2 linked regions of the Nothobranchius furzeri genome follow. The protein of the gene in region 2 purifies or fractionates together with the protein of the main gene of each other region. This does not show direct contact. Links are inferred from orthologs where the notes say so. Each region holds a gene or a part of one and is shown on either strand. Other genes may lie near its edges.

What was found.
Region 1: the proteins of nelfa (region 2) and supt5h purify together in Homo sapiens (affinity purification with mass spectrometry; 3 studies listed by BioGRID and IntAct, with this or other methods). This does not show direct contact. The link is inferred for Nothobranchius furzeri from reciprocal best matches to the Homo sapiens genes NELFA and SUPT5H.

The regions. Positions count from the first base shown.
Region 1 is NC_091753.1:56,971,821-56,976,285, reverse strand, and holds the start of supt5h (transcription elongation factor SPT5), read right to left. Parts: upstream 2,807-4,465; 5' UTR 1,811-2,806; intron 1,611-1,810; 5' UTR 1,601-1,610; coding exon 1,514-1,600; intron 1,150-1,513; coding exon 990-1,149; intron 896-989; coding exon 830-895; intron 1-829. Other genes in the region: triap1 (TP53-regulated inhibitor of apoptosis 1), read left to right, coding at 3,713-3,937. UniProt on the Homo sapiens protein: Component of the DRB sensitivity-inducing factor complex (DSIF complex), which regulates mRNA processing and transcription elongation by RNA polymerase II.
Region 2 is NC_091742.1:60,247,937-60,252,335, reverse strand, and holds the start of nelfa (negative elongation factor A), read left to right. Parts: upstream 1-1,298; 5' UTR 1,299-1,366; coding exon 1,367-1,576; intron 1,577-2,698; coding exon 2,699-2,870; intron 2,871-3,092; coding exon 3,093-3,254; intron 3,255-3,339; coding exon 3,340-3,429; intron 3,430-3,510; coding exon 3,511-3,638; intron 3,639-3,714; coding exon 3,715-3,784; intron 3,785-3,863; coding exon 3,864-3,952; intron 3,953-4,028; coding exon 4,029-4,137; intron 4,138-4,399. UniProt on the Homo sapiens protein: Essential component of the NELF complex, a complex that negatively regulates the elongation of transcription by RNA polymerase II.

The sequences.
Region 1 (4,465 bases), on a different chromosome or scaffold from region 2:
CGACAAATTTCGCTGATCGCGGTCGTTTGTCGCCTCCCGCGTGTCGAGCCCATAATGAGGGATTGTACTGGTAAGTGCTTTGGAGGACACAACCTAGTCAACTAGTAAAATACTCTGATTTGTGTCAGAATGTTTGCAGGTTGCCACACACACACACACACACACACACACACACACACACACACACACACACACACACACACACACACACACACACACACACACACACACACAGCTGAGCTGAAATGAGGTGAGGTTAGCAGTCTGGGATGGGACCTGCTCTGAATGTGCGTTGATGAGGCTTTAGAATTACCGTTAACTGGAGACCGGGACAGCGGGGAACGCCGTGAGACAGAAAACAAATCAGTCAGAGCACAGAGGCAGCTGAAACTCCACCCCCCACTGATCAAAATGCTTCAGAGGCCCAGGGCAGCAAAACAAACTCCCCTGAACTCAAACCTGCTTCTTGATTTGCTTTTACCTGCAAATGCAGATTCTGCTAACTTCGCTACACCTCAGAAACAGGAAACACTGTCATATAGCTGCTAACAGTTTGTAGCTAACCGAAACTTCATGCATCACCACTTATCGTCAGAACTCACCTGTTTCATAACAAAGGTTTAGAACTTTTGAACGGACCTCTGAAGCAAAAACCCACCAAAACAAAAGCTAAAAGCTTTGCTGCATCATGTCTGCTGAGATCGGACAGACTGGTGGTGTTATAAACAACTATGTTCACCTGGTCTTTTTACCAAGTCACTCTGCTCCACAAGTGAAGTTAACCGGGTTCAGTTTCCAGAAAATTCCACTCCCTCTCATGAAGTCTCACCTTTCTCCAGAATATCCTCTGCTCCCTCCTCCCAATGATCATCATCCTCATCTTCATCATCCACATCTACAAACAAACAAAAAGGAACAGGTGGGCGTTAATGCTCCGCCCATCATCAGGTGCCACAAGGTAAAGCTTAGGGGAAGACGTCTCCTCGCACCGGCTTCATCCAGAATGAACCCTCCATGTCTCGGCTTCTTCCTCGGCCGGTCGTCGTCTTCATCCTCCTCTTCCTCTTCATCATACTCATCCTCATCCTCTAGGTCCTCCCCCTCCTCCTCTGCTACCTTGTCACTGCCCACAGGGCTGGCAGCCTCCTCCTGGTGGAGGGCATCACAAAAAACAACAGTAAACGTTACTTAATCATCTCGTTCAGCATAAAGACGTCACACATCCATGTTTCATCATCTCACTCCTTTTTACGTATTAAAAGAAACGGTAACGTAACAATAACTGAATAAGTTTGTTTCTACAAGTCAGACACGGTACACGTGCCCTAGTCACTCAAATTAAATCACAAAGGATATTCAATTTTCGTTCCTGTAGTCAATTTTTTCTCCCAGTAAAACACTTTAATGTTCTGTCGCCCAGCTTTTGTTTCATATAAATTAGTTTTCAACCAAAATCCTTATGGGGACATAAGAAGTGAGCAAGCCTCAGAGCCCGGATTAAAGGTTAGCATACCTCGTTCTCCTCCACCTCCTCAGCTTCTCCATCGCTGCTGCGCTCACTCTGGTTGTCAGAAAAGTCGCTGTCCTCGCTGTCAGACATTTTGTCGTAACTGTGAAGAAACAAACGTCAGCAGAATGAATCACATCAAACAGCACAAACTAAAACTCAAACCTAGACTGTGAGCTCCGCAGAACAACAACCAAGATGGCCTAACAAAGCTAACCACGTTAGCTTAAATGTAACAGCCTCGGTATCTAGAAAACAACAGCTATCAAATCTTATTAAACGCCATTAAAAGTTGTTTCTTACCTGGTTTTATTTCCCGCTTTGATTTTTATTCCATTAAACAACAAATAAGTGAAAACAATAGTTTATCTCTGTCTGCGACGCCTGAAGCTTTCCGTGAGAGCTACGAGATTTCGGGAAGCAACGTGTTACCTCTCGCGTGTTTTCGCCAGGACGTAGCTCGTGGGGATAAAGAGGTCTCACTCTGACATATTTTCCTTTTCTCCACAAATCATTTAACTGGCATTCAGTTTAGAAATATAGTCCGTCTGTTGCCGAAGCAAACATTATTTTGTTCTGCATTGTTTTATTCACCTATATAGGATGGGTTAAGAAGAAGAAGAAGAAGAAGAAGGTCTTTTATTTAGCGCCTCACTAAATCAAATCCTGAGGCGCTTCACAAGATCAAAAATAAGAAGATTAAAAAATGATTAAAAACATTCATGCAATTTGGAAATTTAAAAAATATACTGTAATTAACAATATAGTTTATAGTAAAGTTTTTAAATTACATTTAGATTTTTATTCAATTTTATGCTGTTATCTTTTTATTTCTATTTATCTATTTTGTTTCATTGATCTGTTGTTTTATATATATTTTATCTGGACCTAAGAGTCTGTCATTAAAGATTATCTATCTATCTATCTATCTATCTATCTATCTATCTATCTATCTATCTATCTATCTATCTATCTATCTATCTATCTATCTATCTATCTATCTATCTATCTATCTATCTATCTATCTATCTATCTATCTAGCTATCTATCTAATATGAGGAAAGGGAAACAAAAATGAATAATGAAGAGAAAGATCCTGGGATCCCGGGAAAGGTAAAATTTGTAGAGAGTTGAATGAGGAGAAGCTAGAGATGAAGAATCAACAGGATGTCATGCCAAGCCAGTCCAAACAGGTGAGTTTTCAGCTTCCTTTTAAAGAAGACCACTGAGTCCACTGAGCTCAGACTCAGGATGAGAGAGTTCTTTAGTCTTGGGGATCTCAGCAGCAAATGATCTGTCACCTGACTTTCTATGCATCTTAAACACTGCCCGTCGGCTTGGGGATTTCCGCATTCCTTCGCAGCTACATGTGAACACTACACTGCCCATACGAGATCGAACTGACGCCATCTTCCCCTGACTGTACTGACCCTAAGGTGTATGCAAATCTTTAGCTCGGTGCGCTGCACAAGTAGGTTTAGATCACTGGACCGCAGGGGTCTGCTGGGGGTGGAGAGACTGGGAAGATCACCAATGTATGATGGTTCTAGTCCAAGTAAGGCCCTAATGACCAGGACCAGGATCTTGAAAGTTGACTGGCAGCCAGTGAAGCTGGAGGAGAAGCGGGGTGATGTGGGTGTGCTTTGACAGTTTGGTCAGAAGCTGAGCACAGGCATTCTGAACCTCCTGTAAACGGGTCACCTGTAAACAGTTCCACTATAGAAGAACTATAAGGTGAAAATGCATAACTAAATGTGAGCTAAATAGAAAACGTTCATTATTTTTACAATTTGCTAAAACAATATCAGCAGATTGGCCACATCCATTCATGGAAATGTATAAAAAATATCTGTCATAAATACGACAGGTGACTAAAATTCAGACATTTTTCTGTCGTTTTCAACTAATTGACATTCTAAACAGGCTTAAATTTTAATTTAGGAGACGTACAAAGTAAATATAGTTAACGATGTGATGATAAAAATAAAAATAGGATTAGTTGTGACAGAGTGAGCTCTCTTACTACATATCTTTGGCAAGTAAAACGTCATTACGCTATGCTGCGTCCCTCTTCATTCAGCCAATCACGTTAATCGAGGGCTACGCAGTGCGCATGCTGATCCGGTCGACGCTTGGACAGCAGTCAGACAGACTTCCTGTCCTGTTTCTTGACCCGTAGAGGTGTTTTTACTCGTTTTCTTGGAGATGAACAGCGTTGGGGAGGCCTGCACCGATCTTAAGCGGGATTATGACCAGTGCTTCAATCGCTGGTTCGCGGAGAAGTTCCTGAAAGGAGACCGCAGCGGAGACCCGTGCACGGAGACCTTCCGGAAGTACCAGCTGTGTGTGCAGAAGGCCATCAAAGAGAAGGACATCCCCGTCGACGGAGTGGAGTTCATGGGTCCCAACAAAGACAAACCTGAGAGCTGATGGAGCCGCAGACGGGTTCGGATCAGACCTGACCGGGGTCCATGAGGCCCGTTGAGCATGCGTACAGGCGCCAAGCCGGGCGAACTGGGTCACCTCCCGGTCCGAAGGCCGGGAATCTTTTTCAAACGTCACTTTTGGAGGACTCGGTCCAGCTGTTGGTCACCTCGTGAGCCGGACGTCATCATTTTGCCAACTCAAACAACCAATCACAGAGCTGCTGTCACCTGTTTTTTTTTTTTGGCTGAAATTAATTTTTTGTTCTTTTAAGATTTCCCGGTCAGACTTTTCCTCTGTGAATAAAAATCAACATATCATTATAGCCATAATAATGAAAACCACTTCCTGTTTCTCATCAGAATTTTTTAAATGAAGCTCTTTGAGTGGATGAGAGGCAGGGGCGTGTCCAGGGAGTGGCCTGGGGTGGCACATGCCAACCTTGGAATCTGACTGGCCACCCCAGGTGCCACCACACTAATTTACCTTTAAATCGGCTTTTCATTGTCCACAAAAGGCTTGGGGGTAAAACAA
Region 2 (4,399 bases):
CGGTCTGGTCGTACTGCGGTTTCGCCTACGGACTTCGGTACCTTTGGGGGGAGGCAGGTTTCAGATCAGAATAGATTCAGGGAGATGAGAAATGCCTGATTATGCAAGTAGCTTCAATCGATGCGTTTCAAGATTTTCAAAGTAAAACTCTAAATTAGCAGCTGAGACAGGAAAATGCATGAATGCATCCCAAAACAGGTTTGGGTATATTTCTTATGAGGAAATAACAATATTTCTTGGTAAAAAGCTCCAAAATGTGGACTTTCCTTGATATGGCCCCTTTAAGTTGTGTTTGTATAAAAATTCATAAGATTATTGCTTCTTCACGAGGAAAAAGACACATCCCTGGGTGGGCTCAAACCACCTACCTTTCAGTTAACAGTTGAATGCACTAACCCATTGCACCAGAGGCAAGATACCTTTTTTGGAGCACATATAGCAAAACAACCACACACTGCTTACTCACATTTATGTCATAATTAGTTAAATCATGTTGCATTTAATTGATTTTTTTTCTAGAGAGGCAATACATCTATTCTCAGATGTTACAATTTTAGATTTACTACAGCCAAAGTTAAGGCCATGATTTATCCCTGATGAGGATTTATCTTGGAAACTACATATAACCAATTTCAAAAGTAACAAAATCAAGAATACCAAAACAATATATACCCTTAATAAACTCATCAAAAATGAATTGCTTAGCTTATATGATGCTATGAGATAAACGTATTTATGAGGCGGAGAGAATGAAAAGGAAAACACACATTGTATGTTCTACTTTGTATTTTTTATAGCTATTTTATTGTGTGTTTTGATTTGCATTGTTTTCTCCTTTCATTAAGACATTTTTTGTGTGTGTGTATTTGTTTCCGCTCCATTTTTTGCCAAAGTTAAAACAGTAACATGTCCAGACATTTTTTTTTAGCTATAATAACTTTGTTGTCATTTGCATTTATTTTGGTTAAAGGAACAGATAACATAAGTTTTGCTTCTTTCTGTTCCTTTTTCATTTTTGCAAACCTGTTTTGTGTTTTGTTTTTATTTGTGAATAAATGAAAATAAACTTAAAAAAAACGTTGGACTTTCTGATAACTTATAATAAACAATTTAAGATCAAAAGTATTTTGAAACCAGACCGCAGCAAAAAAAAAAAAGCTATTACTTCTGCAGTGTTATAAATAGATGCGGTGTTAAAATTGCTTATTTTTGTACAAACAGTTTAAACGTGTCTTACGTTAATCTTGTGTTTGGTTTATAGCTACGCTCCCCCCCCCCCCCCCCCCCCGTGTGGGCGGGGTCCTAACTGATGTTTTCTTAGGTAGCCTGTTAAAATGCCCGAACTCAAAACACTTCTTTTTCCAAGATGGCGTCGATGAAGGACAGCGACACCGGCCTGTGGCTTCACAACAAACTGGGATCCACGGACGAGCTGTGGACGCCTCCGAGCATAGCCTCTCTCCTCACCGTGTCGGTAATCGACAACATACGGTTGTGTTTTTCCAGCTTGTCGCCGCCGGTGAAGCTGAAACTGCTGCTCGGGATGCTGCATCTTCCCAGGCGGACGGTGGACGAGGTGGGTTCGTTATACCTATTTTTTTTCTGTACACCGACAGGTTAGAGGCGCTCGCAAATTTCCTTCGCGACAAAGAAATGCACATACCCCATAGTTTAAGTTGCGCTGCATTAAAGCACTTGGAGCGTCCAACAGTAAAAGTCCTGTGTGAAACTGTGACCGACGACGGCTAACACCTCGAGCTAACCTGATATACTTTCTGCAGTATTTTCTCCCAAGTTTGTACCTCAGCCTGGATTCTGTGGGGAATTCACATAAACAAAGAACCGATTTATGGCTAACTTGTTAGTCCATTTTCCACCAGAGGTTAACCAGCTAGCGCGAGTAACGTTAGCCTGACGGCTTCCTCACGGACATTGTGGTCGATGAGGGAAAGGACGCAGCAGTTAGCAGGGCTGGAGGGCGGTGCCAACATTCTCAATCCGACATATCAGCTGCCAAACTACAGCGCGCCTCATGATCTTACTGCAAAATGTAATAAACTCAATAGTGTCTTAACTGAAAGCTATTATCCCCCAGTTTGAACTATTAAATGTTCTGCCCTCATGTTTTATTTAGTTTCCAACAACTGCACGGTACATAACACAGTAGTAAACATATATATTTTTATATTTGAGTATTTATTTCACTGTATTTTGTTTATAGCACTTGTATGCAAATCAATGCTAATTTAATTTCAATATGTCTACATTTGCTTAGACTCAAGGAAATTACAACTTTATTTGGGTATTTTGGACCTGTTGCTGGCATCTAGTGGTAAGGTCTGAAATTAGAACATCTCGCATGATTCATCAACAAACTGCCCATGTGTTGGTGTGCAGCAGGGGTGGTTCTACAAGGGGTCCAGTGTGAGCCAATGCCATCCTGACCGCAACCTCGGACCCCACTTTCCCCCTCCTAATTTTGCCATGGCCTTGCTTCCCCCTTCTATTAGTCAAAAAACACCCCTCCGGTCAAGTTGTGAAAATTAGTTTTTCCATTTTAAGATATGAATGCATCAAGTCTGCTGCAATGTCAGTGTTGTCCAAGAGAAAATTCAATAAATGCATAATGGGACTCTCCTAAATAAAATCCTGCCAGTTGTAAATTAATTGGAATGCTGCAAATGTTGTCTTTTCCCAGATGAAGGAGGCCCTGTCAGAGATCATCCAGCTGGCTACGGTGGATTCAGAGCCCTGGGTGCTGATGGTTGCAGACATCCTCAAGTCCTTCCCAGAGACTGGCTCTCTTAACCTGGACTTGGAGGAGCAGAATCCAAACGTGCAGGATATTCTCGGAGAACTCCGGGAGAAAGGTCGGACTGTTTTTTTATGTTGACCCTCTCTTTGAAAAGTGTGAATAGCAACCCCATATGATACAACTATATAATGGTGGATTTAAAATCTAGAAATAAAATGAGTTTTGTGTGATTTGGGTCTCTAAATGTCCCGGGCATTTGTTCTCTAGTTATTAAAATGTTATTAAAATGAATTGACTTTAGTGAATTACGGTCCTGTTTTTGACCTCTTCTCCTCAGTGAGTGAGTGCGAGGCATCGGCCATGCTTCCTCTGGAGTGTCAGTACCTGAACAAGAGTGCCCTCACCACTCTAGTGGGACCCCTCACACCCCCTGTCAAGCATTTCCAGCTCAAGAGGAAGCCCAAGAGTGCGACGCTGAGAGCGGAACTGCTCCAGAAATGTGAGTGATTTTGAAATTCTGCTGATATAATTAAAACGGAAATTATATTCATCAAACGAGTGGTCTGATGTCGCGTCCTCCGCAGCGACGGAGACGGCCCAGCAACTCAAAAAGACAGCCGGGGTGCCTTTTCACGCCAAAGGGAGGGGACTGGTGAAAAAGATCGACACGACAAGTGAGTTACAGCAGGATTTAGCTCCGTGGTTTTCCTAAAGTCGTGATGTTGTTCATTTGTGCGTCTCCATCTGCATCCCAGCTCCTCTCAAAGGGATTCCCAAGGCCCCGTTCCGCAGCCCCACAGCACCCAGTATGTTCAGCCCTCCCAGTAACCGCACACCCATCGCTCCCCCGCGAACCCCTCTACGGAAGGAGAGAGGAGTCAAGGTTTGTTTCCTGTAATATTCTGCCTGTGTAATTAATTTGAGCAGGTTTTTATTCAAGCTTTTTTTTTTTTTTTTAGCTTTTAGATATTTCAGAGTTGGACATGGTCGGAGCTGGAAGGGAAGCCAAAAGGAGAAGAAAGACTTTGGGTAAATCTAGTTACAAATCTCTATTTTTTACGTGTTGAGCACGATAGAAACAATCTTACATTTCACCTCATGGGTGTAGAAACAGAAGCTGTGGAGAAAGCAGCCAAGGAAGAGGCGGTGGTGGAGAACACCACACCAGACTACGCCGCAGGCCTCGTCTCTGCACAGGTACCCTACACCTGCACCCTGTTAGATTTTCTTATTGCCTTAAAAATGACCTTTTCTTTTCGGTTTTGTGCTTCAGAAACTGGGAGCTCTGAACGAGAATCCTCTGCCTTCGACCAGCTACCTTCCAGCCACACCCAGCATGGTTCCCTCCTCGTCTTACATTCCCAGCTCCGAGGCACAGCCAGGTTAGTGGGGTGTTAAAAGGAACCCAGGTTACAAAACCTTGTGGTTCTTAAAGATAAATGTTAGTGTCAGTTATATTAAAGTGGTGTAAAAAACCTTAACGTCTTCATTTTAATAACATTTGTAAAAAATAGTTTCACTCGTAGGTCGCCGCTGTTGTTAGCGTCGCAATGCACTCTGGGTAGTGACGTCATATGGTTGCACCGGCCGGCTTTGGGACCCTGTAGTGACTGTTGAGCAGGGCCGGGGTTAGGCCCGGCTACT